2 linked regions of the Astyanax mexicanus genome follow. The protein of the gene in region 1 purifies or fractionates together with the protein of each later gene. This does not show direct contact. Links are inferred from orthologs where the notes say so. Each region holds a gene or a part of one and is shown on either strand. Other genes may lie near its edges.

Region 1 (8,064 bases):
ATAGCATAATCTCTACTCATTGTCACATCCATTATGATTTGAGTTTAGCCTTACATTTACTTTACACATTGTTTGATATTAGTTAAAACATACCCCCATAAATGGAAAAGGCTTGGTCATAAAAGAACCGTCTCTTCAGCGTATCCTCCATTTTAGTCCTATCCACGATATCATCTTTGGGCTGCAGGGAAAGTTCCTGTAAAAGAATAAAAACAGTTTTATAAAAGCATTCCTTCTGTTGCCTTTAAATTGGCACTCCAGTTTAAAACAAAAAAAGGTTTATCCATCAATACACATGTTCTAAAAATGATGTGACAACAGTCTCTAAAACAAGATTTCCCAGTTAAACTACTAGGAAAAATCTCTCCTGTTGATGATAGTAGGAGGAACTTAAAAAATCATAAGACTTTTTAAGCAGGCCACTTCATTTTCTTCACAAGATTAAGCCAGTGAGCAAGTGTTACTGCTGAAAGTCAATGAGCGCATATATTAATTTGTGTCTGTCATTGGCTATAGAAGCAGTCTGGATTTTTTTCATCACTATTACTAATATTCTTACAACTGTAAGATTTATCTGTGCAATGTACTGTACAGTAATGGGCAAAAACAAAAGAGAGGCAAAACGCTGAATTTTTGTCCAACTTGTTGAGGCTAAGGGATGCAATGCTGTGCAACAACAAAACACTGAAAAAAAATTGTTACACTCTGGTCCAAAATGAACTGCAAAAGAGCCAGATGAAATGAGATGTGAGCAACAGAAAAGCAGTCCAAGATGGGAATCCAAATCTTTAGCATATTAGATACTAAATGAGAAGGACTAATCTCAATTGGTAAAATTAGACCACCCTTTCAGATATACATAATAATGTATCCATAAATACATTAAACCAAAGTAACTGGGTAAATCTGAATTTAATTATACATACAGTTGGATACATACATCGGTTGGATATTTGACCGCTCTTCTTGGGAAAATTGATGCATTTCAATTAAATCAGTTGTTTTCCTGACACACATCTCTAGACTGTATTTGGGAGCCACAGCCCTCAAGACAAGAGGACAACCATATTCAACATACTTGTGATGTAACCCCACATGGAATGTGGAATCTGCTTTAAACCCATGTGTGCAGCAACACACACATACACAAGCTGCATTGCATAGTTGCACTTTCACTGTGCACCTACTGAATTCTAAAAATATATTATTTTTAATTAAATTAAATTAAATGTGACTTAATACAATTAAATAAAATGTATATTTATTCATAATAACTGATGGAATAAGTTCTGCTGTAAATGTAAGTGATTTCATCATTTATACACAGCGTACTGCACAATTCACTTGAAAAAATAAAAACGGGACTAAAACATCATATTCAAATTTTTACATGATAAGTGACACGTGGAATGTGCTTTAAATCCATGTGCGCAGCAAACACACATACACAAGCTGCATTACATAGTTTAGGCTGAATCCTAGATGTTATGTTTTTCTCTGACCCAGCGTTATAAGAGGCTGTTCCAAAACTAAGAATCCTTCATATACAGCAACAAAAATGCAGCAGACACAACTGATGTATCCATTGTGGCCCTCAGTTTGCCACAATTCACCGTGCACCTCCAACACAAGGAGTAAAAAGAAGAAAACATATAACGAACATATAAAGAAACAATAATGCCTTCACAGACAATGCCTTCCACCTTTAAGGGGAAGTTTTTCAAGCATAGGATTCTTCATGGGTGAAGCCACTGTGTTGGAAAAAAAGTTATTTATTGTAGACCACCGCACTGGTGTACCAGCAGCTTCCAGTTAACAACAGAGGTTCGCTCCGCAGATTTTTGGGATGTTTATGACATCAAAACTAATTCAGGACTTCTCCCAAACCACGGCAAAGTGTCTACACCTTACTGACATCAATTTATCAACTTGCTGTTAAAAAAAAAATCAACTGACTTGTGCAAAATGATTATCATCCTGAAACTCAGCCTTGATGATCAGTCCTTACCTTGGCCTCAAGTATCCTCTTCCGAGCCTTGAGCTCTGCCACAGCTTTGGTCACATCCACATCTGGGGCGTTCTCTGATTTCATCTGACGAACCAGCTCACCCTGAGCAGAAGAAGCAGCACATTTAGCTAGGATGAAACTGAAACAGCTGGAATAGCAGAAGTCAACCACTGCCCCACATCTCCTTACAGCTCATCTATTTCCTCCCAAAGAAAGTAAGAAAGAGAGAAAGAGAGAGAGAGAGAGAAAGAGAGATATAGAAATAGAGAGAGACTGACAGAGAGAAAGAAAAAGAGAGAGAGAGAGAGCAAAACAGAAAGCGCCCTGCCCTGTTCTTTTTCCCCTCCCTCCATCAGTCAGTCTGTCTGTAGCAGCCAGATGAGCTCAAAACGTGGCACTGTAAGGCTGAGGTTGAACCCAGGCACAATCACTAAACTGCAGTGAGCTTAACCTGTTACACATCCGGGTCTAATATAACCAAATTAACTACATTTGATTAGGATATTCCTGACCATAATAATTAGCTAGCTATAGCTAGGTTAGCATGCGAAGCAAAAGCAAAAGCTGCTACATTCATTCATCCTGGTCTTAAAGGCCAATCCAGAGAAGAATAAGATTTTATCGATTTGCAATTTTAGTTATTCAGTTAAGAAAACGTGCTTTATAACAGCTCCACCTATGAGTACTATAGTTAGCTAGCTTAGCAGTTGTAGTATTTTTATTTTTCGCAGTAGCGTTATCGTTACCTGCTCTTTCACCGCCTGTCTCAGGGGAGCCAGGATCTCCTCGATGTTTCCGTCCATGTTTTGACCTTCAGAAAGCTCCAGCCACTGGCTCGTCTTCTGTTTCTTGCCCAGGCAGGCTGAGAGGGAGAGCGGGGCGCGGAGTGCGGGTGAGCGGGGGGTCTGCGCGGCGGCTCTGCGGGCTGAGTGCTGTGTGGAGGTCCGCAGGGCTGATGTCGCTCTCCGCAGCAGCAGCAGCAGCATGAGAGCAGCGCTCAGTCAGAGCATGATGAAATCGGAGGAAATGAGTAAACCTGAGCTCGAGCCGCCGCGCGCTCACACTTTCGACACGTACACAGAGGCCGCGTCCCAATACTTACTACCGAGCTAGTGAACAGGGATCAGCTTTAAAATTAGTAATAATAATAATAATAATAATAATAATAATAATAATAATAATAATAATAATAATAATAATAATAATAATAATATTAAAAAAATATATGTTGTCTTAATTATAGATACTCTACACAAGTTTGCTTGTGGTTCTGTCAATACATTCTGAATGTGACCTGTAGCTGTTTTAACAAGAACATTGTTTTTAACATTTAAGCAGGTCTAAATCCGCAAAAAATACATTCTTAATTTTTTTTCTTTTTTATTAAGTGTCTGAAGTCTAATTAAAGAGACAGAAAATGTTACAAAGTGAACCCCCTTCCAAAACAAGCAGATAAATGTACCTGTGTATTACATTTCTAAAAATAGGTTAGAGTTGTCAGGAAACATTCTCTGGAGGCGAACAGGTGTATAATAAGTACATAAGGACATTCTTTATTCTTAAATGTATCATAAAACATATTTTATTGTTTAATACACCAACTTATACTGAATTCTAAAAAGATATGATTATTTTATTTAATTTAAATTAATTTAATTAAATGTGACTTTGTAAAATTAAATAAAATGTATTTTTATTCATAATAATTGATTGAATTTGCTCTGCTGTAATTGTAAGTGATTTTGTAAATTTCATTATTTATACACAGCGTACTGCACAATTCACAATTCACTTGAAAAAAAAAATGGGTATAAACTATTATATGAGAGTGTACACGTGATAAGTGCTAGACACGCGCTCTAGTTAGAACCCTAACTAGTGCACTTATTGGAGCGGGCCGCTGCCATTAGGATCGGCGGCAGCAGATTCGAGGTTCCTGTGTACGAGCGGCGCTCTTACATGAAAACTAATTGTGTGATTTTAAAATAAATAAAATAAATAAAAATAACCCAATAAAATTACGTTATGTTCTCATTTTTTAAGATTAGGAATTAAACCTAAGGTTTGCTAAGCCCCATTACTATAACTATCCTGATATATTATTGTAAAACAGTAAAAAAAAAAAAAAGTATCTAGTCTGCCAACTGTAAACCACAATACACTATTATTACTGTCCTCTTAAGTACCAGCATTTAAAATTGTAATCATGATTTTATCCATGATCTAGTCACGGAATATTGATGTGATCATTACAATTATTTTTAAGGGACTAACGCCAATAATACAAATTACAGGTGCAGGTAAAAAAAATATATATATTGTTTTGCTTTCCTTGGCTGACATCTTTTATGGTGATGCAGATTTCATTTTCCAGCAGGACTTCATGTAATACATTCAAATATAATATATGAATTTCACATTTTGAACTGAATTACTAAAATAAAGTGACTTTTCAACGACATTCTAATTTCTTAAGATACACCTGTAAATATTTCTAACACAGATTATTTTATTCAGATTTTATTACCCATTATTACAAGCTTAGTCTTGGGTAAGAAAAGGGTGATTATTGTTGATTAATATTTTATTTTATTGTATTATAATTTTATTATTTGTATTTTATAATATGTGTCTATATTATTATGAGCACTGGTGTGCTCATTGAGACAGCAGGTTCATTAGGGTTCGGACCTGTTAAATGAACATATTATGAAAAACAGTACAGAGAGGTATCTTGATAGTTGTAATAGTACTTATATTATAACACTGCATTTATGTTGAATGTATATGATTAACAAATAGACCCAGATTTAATTAAATACACCTCTACATCATACAGGTTTGTGTATAGTTTATTTCTTTTTGACACATATGGTTCCATTTACATACTCCATAAAGTAAAACACACAAGTTAACTAAAAAGTGCTCCACATCCACAAGGTCCCAGGGGCAAAAACAAGTTTATCTTAAGAAGGCTGATAGTTATCTACCCTCTCCAGCAGGACTTCTGAGTATCCAGGAGAATAGTACCTGTTAAAGCAACACAGATAAGAAAAAAATATATTACAAAAAATCTCAATAATTCAATAACACTACTGCACTTGAACTGGTTTCTAATAAGGTTATATGATTTATATTGTTATATGATTTAATGAAGTTTGTTGTATTAACCTGACTATCTCCTCAGGGTAGCAGTTGTTGATCGCGTTGATGTGCTCCTGCAGAGCAGAGCCAGGTTCTGCTTTGATTTCCTGCACCTTCTTAAGGCCTCCACTGGTCACAAACAAACGACGTGCTTTACTGTCATGTGGAAGGACCTTCAGGAAATGGAGACAACCGACAACAGACCCATCATATATTTAAGTTCCCAAATTCTGGTTTAAATCAGAAACATTATTGGGCAGCATACATGATTGTTATGTCCCAGTCACCTACCTTGCTGAACTGGCAGATGACATGTTTCAGGATGTTGCTGGGAGCTTCATAGAGAAGGGGCTCCAGTGCAGGAAGGTAGGTGCACTTCTGAAGAATATTCTTTAAGGCCTTCTTTGCCTAAATTGTGGAAATAAGAAGAGCAGTGATCATGGTTGTTTTGTAAGGTACTGCAGCTGGTAAAAAAAAAAAAAAAACCTTGTCAACTTGTCAATTTTCAAAAACGAACAGTTTACATGTAAAGATTGGTGGCTAATAGTTGTTAATACATATTTTTTTCAGTTTAAACCCTGACCGCAAGATAGCAGTATTATACCAGTACTCAGATCCCTCTGATCGGATTGCTTAGAAAAGTTAACTTTTATTTTATGCAGATTTATTTATGCAGATGGTATTTCCAGAACTGTCATCAGTACTGGTGAACATGCAAACCTTGACTTGCAGGTCTTCAGAACTCTGTGTGTCCAGGTACAGATTAAGGAGTTTTGGCAGCACATTTGCTGCTGCCACAGCTCGTGCATGCTCAGGTGTGTGTTGCCCAATCTGGCCAAACGCCCAAGCTGTAGCTGCCTTGATGTGGTCCTCTGATTCCTCTGCCATGCAAATAGCCAACTGTGGCACCCCCTAGAGGACAGATATAAGAATACAAAACTTACCAACTATTACAAGCGTGTAATACTACCTTTCACAATAGTGCCAAAATAAAATTGCATAACATATCTTATGGATCTCTTTATACATTTAATGGAAAACTGAAAAAATAAAATAAAAGTATATTTTTATTTACTGTTGTTCTACAACATCATTGGAGCAGCTTTAGCTAAATCTAGAACTGGTAACCAGATTGAATCATGCATTTACCAATTTTTAGCTTATGTTTTTCTAAACATGCAGGCAAATGATATGCCAAATGCGGGTGTCATTTTTCTGATTGCAAGGACAATTCCAACAGCAGTTTAGCTTATGACTTATAAAACAAGCAATATTCAGATGTTGTCACACACCTTAGAAACAATGACAGCCATGGCGAGGTTCTCAGAGTGCGCAGCTATGTAGCCCAGCATCATAATCCCAGGCAGGCGCACGTTCCCCCTGGAGTCTCCGAGGTAGTCAATCACAGCTGCTACACCCCCAGCATTCACAATCATTTGCGATAGCTGAAGAGAAACACATACACACATACACTCACATTACCTTTGTCCTTACTGGATTCAATACATGACAGTATCTACAGAGGCTTGAAAATGTTTGCACCCTGGTTAAAATAAGTCTTACTGTAAAGATAAAAGAATTCCAACAATGTATCGAGACTGGGGACTCCTGAGAATAATGTAACGAGGCAGTACTGGGATTTGAACTTAAGATCTATCTTTTGACAAGAATAAAGTTAGACAATTGTGGCACTTTGAAGCAGCAAAATTACAATATATATAACAAACTGTTCTGAGTAAGTCTCCCCAAAGTTCTTTACATTCTTTCTTGGACACACAATTGCACAAACTGTTGAACTGCCTGATCTTTAGCAGATCATAAGTTTAAATCCTGGGAACAAGATGTCTTTTCTTGGTAATAAGCCATATGCCCTTATTTCTGCAGTATGAAGTGATTTAGTGAATATGTATGCAGTTTTGTATGCAGAAGGTACCTCAGGTGTGTGCTTTGTGATTTCCCGCATCATTGTAGTCACATTCTTCTTTACATACTCATCTGGGTCCTTCAGGCTGGATAGCACAGCTGGGAAAATCTCAGCCTCCACCACCATCTCCGCCAGGTCCACTGAGTGCTTTGAGATTTGGCCAAGTGCTGAGAACACTTGCCTCTGTAAAGGAGCAGACTATAATTAGTGGACAAGAATTCTTCTAGGCCCCCCTTTGTCATACAACATTTGCCTTAAAATGGCAAAATGTTTCCTTAATTTTTCCTCAATCAAACAAGCAAGGAATTTATGTGTAGATTCTAAACTTTCAATTACCGCTACGTTTGTAAATTCTTTTGAATTTTATTATGATTTAAGTTTAACAATGTTTAATTGTTGGTATTTAAAAAATATATTTTTATAATGTTTTTTACGTACAGTGTAAACTATTTTTATTCCATGTAATTTTGTGGCATTTCTATTGGTCCATTTTGACACAATGTAAGTGTAGACAGGTTCAAATTGCATAGTAAAAGTAGAAGTAAAATACGGCATGACAGTGGCCCAAGGGTTACACTTGATTACCGCTGACTATACATAGTATTCCTATTAAAGATTACAGCAGAGGCTCTGACCTTTAGTTTGGCATCCGGGTTCAGGGTCATCTGTGCCAGATGGGCAATGGCTCCTGTGTCTACCACTGTTTGTGCCAGTTCAGGCGAGTGTTTAGCAATGTCACTCAAAGTAGAAGCAGCGATCCTCTTCAAGGCAATCTCAGGCTCCTGGATGCACAGCACTAGTAGAGGAACTGCCCCAGCATCCACCACAGCCTGAGCCAGTTCTGCAAATTAGTTATTGATAAAAAGAGCTTTACATGATCAGTCTAAACAATCACTTTTAATTTTGATTATTAATTATGAATTGTGTGTTTTATGATATGATCTATTACAATCATAATTCACTTTTATTACCCTTTTCCATCTTTTGT
Region 2 (7,644 bases), on another chromosome or scaffold:
GTGTTCCATGATACATCCCAAACAACACTTATGATGCATCCCAAAATACAGATAATTAACGGTAGATCTCTTTGCTGATATCAGACTAACTCGGATGCAGAGTGGAAGGTGATCAAGCCGGATGTATTTGCTACCATTATGGATTTCTTCACGTCTGGACTTCCTGTTGTTTCTGAGGATGCAGTTCCTAGTGCAGACACCGGTAATGTTTTCATATTTACATGCACTTCTTCCGACTGCTGCAGAACGTTGGAGTTATTTGGTAATCCTATTAACATGTTTACATGTTTACAAGTGGTCCAGTGGTTTTAAGCGCTGCCACTATGATTGGGAGATCACTGGTTCGAATCCTGCTCATGTAGCTTGCCATCAGCTTGGTGCACTTTCATCAGTCCTAGGGTGATGTCGATCAGCCCAAGGCGTCTTTGAGCGGATGTATCGCTGCACTTTCCTCCGAGCGCGCTGTTATGGTACTCGGCAAGTTCGAAAAAAAGACGGTGATTGGCTTCATGTGTCGAAAGAGACGTGCTAGTCTTCACCGTCCTTGTGTTGTGGCATCACCTGTGATGGGGGATATACAGCTGAGTAGCTGAATGGTGGGACAATTAGCCTAGCTAAATTGGGAGAAGGGGGGGGGGGGGTTATGTAATCGTTTAACACATACGCTGACTGAAAAATCAAAGAATGCTCTGTTTAAGAGGATTCACGGACTGAGAAATGTGGTTTACAAAGCTTTTCATCTCTCTACCAGATTTCCTAATCTGATTTTTAGACCATACTCAAATCAGAGTATGTCTTTTACATGGCTACTCAAATAAGCACATAACTGCACTGGGGCTACAAACTATTTAAATATGTCCATTCACTTAGCACATATAAGACAAAAGACAGACCTGTACACCCATAAGTATCTAATTGGCCAATCACCCTTTAGTTACACAGGTTGGAGCTGACAGAAAAGCTACTGTAACTCAGATAACCAAAGCATTTTAAAATGCATAACACATCAAACGAGGTGTAAGGGTCACATCATCAGATCACCATGTTGCATTCCATGTAGTGATCTGAATAAATTGCTTAATAAATGCATACTATCTCAACAAGTAAAGGAAGCCTATATGGAAGTTTACTCAAGCCATAGCGAACTGTTAGTTCATGTGAGGTAGATTTTCATGTGAGACAATATTTCTGTAAATACTGTTATATTAGCTACTGAAATGATCAAAAGTGCATTACACAACTGAAAACAGTAACAGCAGCAACTATAAAGTCTGGATCAGTTATTAGAGAAAACATTAACAACTTTAACAACTTTATTTTTCAGCCCCCTCAGATGATGATGATGAAGTCGTGTCTATGATCAAAGAGTTGCTAGACACACGGATTAGGTACTGTTACACTCATTTCTCTGTCTGTTTTACTTCAGAGTACAATTGTTTTATCTGTTTTTTTTTATTTGATCTAGGTTTAAAGCAGTTATATGAGGCAAATTTACCTTAAAGTGCAAGCATTGCTCCAAAGTCTAGTATAAAATCTTTGGGACAAATACTTTTGTCTATGTAGTTTACTCTTCTGATTAATGCCATGTTGGTACTATGTTTTTGGTAAATGACTCAAAATTATGTCTTCCATCTCAGACCCACAGTGCAGGAGGATGGTGGGGATGTGCTGTATCGCGGGTTTGAGGATGGTATTGTGAAGCTGAAGCTCCAGGGCTCGTGCACCAGCTGCCCCAGCTCCATCGTCACTTTAAAGAATGGCATCCAAAACATGCTGCAATTCTACGTCCCTGAAGTGGAGGGTGTGGAGCAGGTAAGAGAATTTTAACAAAAGAAAAGTTAATGGAGACCATTTATTGTTTCACATGTAAAGCTAACCAGCTTGCAATATTTATACTGTATTAATATTATTTAATATCTTTTTTTAAAAGAATAAATCAGATTTACATGGTTTTCTATTAACCCCATATGTAGTTTGAGTTAAGGCATGTTTGGTAGGTGGAGTTTACACATTTAGTTATTTTGGAGCTACAACATGTATGTAGCTAACAAATAGGCCTGTCACAACAACTACTATATTTTTGGACAGTATAATTTCCCATAAATTATTGCAAGGATTGATATAATTGCAACCAATAATATGTATAACTGTGTAATAATGCAATTAGGCCCTTTTAAAGATATGATGAGGGCAAAGGGAAAACTATCAAGCCAGAGTTAGTAATAAACTGATCAATTTCTTATTTTCATCTTATTGATCTCTGTGCTCCTTTCATCAGGTGAAGGAGGAGGTTGAGGATGTGGAACAGGAAGCCCAGAGATGAGTGTTAGCCAGAAGGAGTATTTCATCTGGACTACATTCCAGTCTCCTACAGTTCCCAGCAGCCACTTCTCTCACCACAATCTAACTAAGTCAGAGGAGGACTAAAACTCAATTTTGCCATGTTTAGTTTATTTTGACTATTTTGAGGGGGGGTGTAATAAAGCCAAATAGATATTGTCACTGTCACAAACAAATCTTGTGTATCTAAAGCTCTACACTGACGGGATTCGTTTCTCAAAGTGACGTCCATGACAAATATTTACACTTCTACTCAGTGTTAAAACTTTTGCATCTGGACTGCAATTGAAAAAAAACAGGAGGACCAGTGAGGGTTTTTTAGGCTTTGTCACATTGTGTGTTCAGTAGCTTCTCCATTTCCACTCGCTGTTGTGCCCAATGTGTAATCACGGTGCATAGCAGTGGACAAATATCTGTTTTATTAAACGCCAGGTGATGAAGCTCAATGTTTGTCTGGATGAGATTAGGGCTGACAGTTGTTCCTTACATTGTATTGGAATTTCACAGTGAATGGTTCTGTAGAAATTCCCCAAATTGATTTGGAATAAAATCGTTTTACACTGACTTTTATTACAATTTATAAAGGGTTTTCCTTCTCCTGTAAAATTTCTGAAGAATGTGACGACAGTGACAGTATGCTCAGGGGATCCGTGCTTTTTTAGATAATTGCATCTAAATCTTAAAAGAAAATTGTGTGACATGCGTCATTGCTCAATGCAAGTTTTTTTTTCCTGTCATTATACTGTATTAGGTATATGTATATTTAAGTTGGGTGAATGCATCTTGTTTAATGGTAATATTCTGCTCTCCTGATATTTATAATGCTTTCAGTGTTCCACCTAATATTACCCAACCCTGCAGTAACTCGAGACGCACAAAAATAACAGTGGATATGGCCTGTCCACATGTATATTTGTTTTTAATTCAATGTACAGATGTAGAAAATGTGTGTATTAAGAGCAATAATAAAATTGACAAATTCAGACAAAATTGATGAATGTTTTCACTTTTTTAAGTATTATATTATATTATATTTTATTAAAGAAGTAATTTTAAGAATGGTATACCTTACACTGAAGGTACATTACAAAATATATTCAGAAAACAAATACACATTAACATTAGGGGTGGGAATCACAGGGCATCTCAAAATACAATATTATCACGATACATGATATCTTCATATTCTGATTCACTAATACCAAACAGGAATCATGTTTTTGCTATTGTCAGTTTCACAGAAACAATATACTTCACTGCAGTTTTTCCATTCTACACTGACAGGCCAAAAAGTCATGAGACAGCAGCTTGTAAGTTAATCATAAAGTGTATCATCAGGGATTGATTAGGGATGAAACCTTTCTAAGTTATGAATGAAAACATGAAAAATAGCTAATAGATTGACACTAATAATAGAAGGACACTAAGCACATTTTGTGTATATTAAATGTGTATATCAAAATAAACAATATCTAAGGTAGAAGGTAAAATATCTTGTAAAGCATATATGGGATTTGGAGTAACACAACAATGCAAAAATAAATTATATCTACGAAGGATTTTATTTAATTATATTTTATGATAAAGTTTATAGTTACAAAGTGGGGACAGGTAACAAATGCTATTTTTCAGTGTTCTAAGTAGTTTTTATTAATATTTTTAATTACTAATCTTACTTTCGTAATTAGTTCGATGTACAAGACGCTATGCTTAATAATAAAATTTATTTTAAAGTTACTGTGTGTGCACATTTATACATGTAATTTCCATGGGGACAGAAATGGCACAGATTTGACGGAATATTCCATAAACTATTCGTAATAATCACCATAAACACACATGACTGTTACTGATCCTCTCCATCCCGGACAGTATGATGACACATCACTCACTAAGTATCTCAGCCAGCAGCCAATCAGATCTACCCCCGCGTAGCTACGTACGCTGTCTTTTTCTACGTAGAGTACCGGCGCTGGAGTTTGCGCAGGTCTGTTTTGCATGATTTCCTGGTGTGGATCATTTGTGCACACGCGACACTATTTACATCACTATTACTGACTGAACCGACGAAAGGTAAAAGCTCCGCGAGCGCCGGGTCCGCAGGTGATTGTCGACATCATGGACGCATCCTTCTGCCACGTAGAACCAACCGGCCTCCGCAGGCGAAGACCTGGTGTTGGGCGTGACTGACAGCTCGTTCCGCCAATCAGAGGCGGGTACGTAGGCACAGCCTGGGCTCTCGTCCAGTAGAGTGTGAGGGGGCGGAGCTTGTGTAAGACCCAATGACTCGGAGGCGGAACTCAACTCCACAGTAGTTGGAAACGGTGCTGAAGACATGTGTGGTGAGTGTGAATGGAGCATGAGATTTTTCTTACTGTGTTTAACTTCAGCGTTTTTAACACGCAGTCTGTAGGTAGAAGAGGTTCATACGGTTCAGAGGAACTAGAATATATCTGTGTAATTGTGAAAATAGCTCAGAAAATAGATTAAACATCTCGAGAGGCACAACGTTAGCACTGCTAGCTAGCATTTACATTTGGGCTGTAACCTACCTACTGTACTAGCCGGCTAAGTAACCAGCGTAGTGAATTAACTGTGCCGCATAGTTTAGTGTGTATGTGTCACTTGCTGCCGTTTAGGGCGTGTTATTATTTTATTGACATGCAGCTTAGAGACTCTAAAACAACTAGTCTGACTGATTGTCACTGTTTAGACTCTCACAGACCGGGTTCGGTTTCATTACAGCTGCTTTGCGTAGGACTAGAATGAGGGGTTTCCTCACTGTTCGATATTGAGAATTGGTTTCGTTTAAAATGTATTTATTTGTTATTTACATTACCACATAGCTAACCTAGTTAGCAATATCTTTAAGCTGTAAAACCTCAGACTCACTTCTGTATTTATTTGTTATTCACATTACCACACAGCTACAGCTCTGGGAAAATTAAGAGACCACTTCAGTTTCTGAATCAGTTTCTCTTATTTTGCTATTTATAGAAATATGTTTGAGTAAAATGAACGTTGTTGTTTTATTCTATAAACTATGGACAACAATTCTCCAAATTAAAATATTGTCATTAAGAGCATTTATTTGCAGAAAATGAAAATGGCTGAGCATTCAGCTTTCAGACCTAAATATTGCAAAAAAAAAAAAAAAACAACAAGTTTATATTTATAAACCAATATTTGGTGGAATAACCCTGGATTTTAATCAAATTTTTTTATGCATCTTGGCATGTTCTCATCCACTAGTCTTACACAAGGCTTTTGAATAACTTCATGCCACTCCTGGTGCAAACATGTAAGCAGTTCAGCTTGGTTGGATGGCTTGTGATCATCCGTCTTCTCCTTAATTATATTTCAAAGTGTTTTTTTATTTGGTAAAATCAAAGAAACTCATAATTTTTAAGTTGTCACTTATTTTTTTTTCCAGATCTGGAGTTAGAAACCTTTAACCCATAAGACCTCGGACCCAATTCTGTATTTATTTGTTATTTACATTAACACATAGCTAGTTAGAAATCTCTTTTACCCTTATGACCTCAGACCCAGGTTTGTATTTAAGTAGTTACATTACCACAAATCAACCTAGTTAGAATTCTCTTAAACTCATAAGATCCCAGACCCAGTTCTATATCTGTTTATTTACATTACCACATAGCTAGTTGTCTGTTTGTTTTTGTTTTAAAGCTGGCGGAAACCCTAAAATCTACAGAGCAGTGTGCCTCCACTACAAGGGTTAAAGACCATTGACTTAGGAAGACTGCACTGATTAGATTGGGTTCCTCAGATAAGACGTAGACAAATGCCAGGACCCGCCTCAGCCCCTGATAAATGGCAGAACCTGATTTACTCCTTGATGGATCTTAGGACCAGCTTTAGCTTACGCAGCCAGTGGGAGTCAGAAGACAGACAAGAAGAGTACATTGGTTTTAAAGTCAGCTGCTTGAAAGCACAGTACTGAGTGGAGATGATGATACTAATCCGAGATATCAGGATGTATCAGTATTTCAGGCTGATATAAACAAAAATTGCTGCATCAGTTTAGGAGTGTTCTGTTGATTGTCGAGTGTATGTCACATTAGAAACAAACATAAAACAGCCTTAAACATATTGAATTTGTTGAGAACATTGGGCCAATCTGCCTGCTGTGGTACATAGTACATAGATACAACAACAAATGCCTTGTTTAGTCCCTTTTAAACAGGCAGCTCATATCAGATTTTCTGACATTTACAACAGAAACCAGACCTTTTCCACTCAGATTGAGACTTAATTTAAAAGTAGTTTAAATTCTATTTTTAAACATGAGATTATAACCAGACATTTTTTTGACATGAACGAGATAGGAAGCACAAAAACGTGAACCTTTTAATGCAAAAATACATTGGAACTAGAGGAGTGTTGTATTGTAAGCAATAATATTGCAAACATTTTTGACACAATAAAAAAAACCTCCTTGTTGTGCTAATAGCGATATTCTTGAAAGCAGTCTGTTTTATATTTGTTTATTTGCAGTTTTTGTCATATTGCCAAAAATATTATCACATAAATACCTTGAAATATCGGATATGGCCCTAAAATAATAGCATACAGCCCTAAACGGAACTGGGCAAAGATACTTGTAATATAAACATAGCCTACCTTTGTTTGGTCTGAACCAAACTAGCATAAGTAAAAGCTGCCGCAAACCATCAACAAGACCAAAATTTGCTCCAAACAAACAAGGCAATTTCAGGCTTGTACTTATTTTACCTTTGGACCATGTTAGTAAAAAAGAAATGTAAGTGTAAAGAACCTTCTTAAACATTCTGTGCAAATGTAAAGTTTCTTCACATTTATACATTTTTTACAGAAAATGGTTATTTAGAAAACTAAAAGGGGTTCTTCTGTGACATTGCTTAAATAACCCCCTGAATTACCTTTATTGTCAATAGTTGCCACATGTTTGCTCTACAACAGATTCCAAACACACATGTATAGTGGTTTTAAATAAGTGGTTTAAGTGGACTGGGGAAACAAATTTGATTGGGAAACACTTGCATGTGTTCCTGTAATTCTCTGTATGGGGCCAGCTTGTAGGCCCATACCAATTCCTTGCACTCTAACAGCATGAGTTACTTAATAGCTTTACTACAATCATTTGTAGTAGTTACTGAATAAAAAGTCTTCAACTTAAAATTCAGACATAAGCAAAAACAGTAATGAAAGGACTAAAAGGAAACAGTGCTGAATTAAGAGGCTGTTCATACTACAGGAAAAATCTGTTTTGTTTCTTAAATCTGATTTTTAGAATGAATATTC

Evidence for each region. The genes of interacting proteins can lie anywhere in the genome.
Region 2: the proteins of gars1 (region 1) and gfpt1 fractionate together in Homo sapiens (co-fractionation; 3 studies listed by BioGRID, with this or other methods). This does not show direct contact. The link is inferred for Astyanax mexicanus from reciprocal best matches to the Homo sapiens genes GARS1 and GFPT1.

The regions. Positions count from the first base shown.
Region 1 is NC_064408.1:95,367,493-95,375,556, reverse strand, and holds the start of gars1 (glycine--tRNA ligase), read right to left. Parts: upstream 3,017-8,064; 5' UTR 2,995-3,016; coding exon 2,755-2,994; intron 2,111-2,754; coding exon 2,009-2,110; intron 197-2,008; coding exon 94-196; intron 1-93. Other genes in the region: spag6 (sperm-associated antigen 6), read right to left, coding at 4,975-5,038, 5,180-5,325, 5,444-5,560, 5,873-6,064, 6,445-6,597, 7,086-7,259, 7,712-7,917. UniProt on the Homo sapiens protein: Catalyzes the ATP-dependent ligation of glycine to the 3'-end of its cognate tRNA, via the formation of an aminoacyl-adenylate intermediate (Gly-AMP).
Region 2 is NC_064419.1:27,191,317-27,198,960, reverse strand, and holds the start of gfpt1 (glutamine--fructose-6-phosphate aminotransferase [isomerizing] 1), read left to right. Parts: upstream 1-4,574; 5' UTR 4,575-4,675; coding exon 4,676-4,682; intron 4,683-7,644. Other genes in the region: NFU1 iron-sulfur cluster scaffold homolog, mitochondrial, read left to right, coding at 85-202, 1,325-1,388, 1,638-1,812, 2,279-2,323.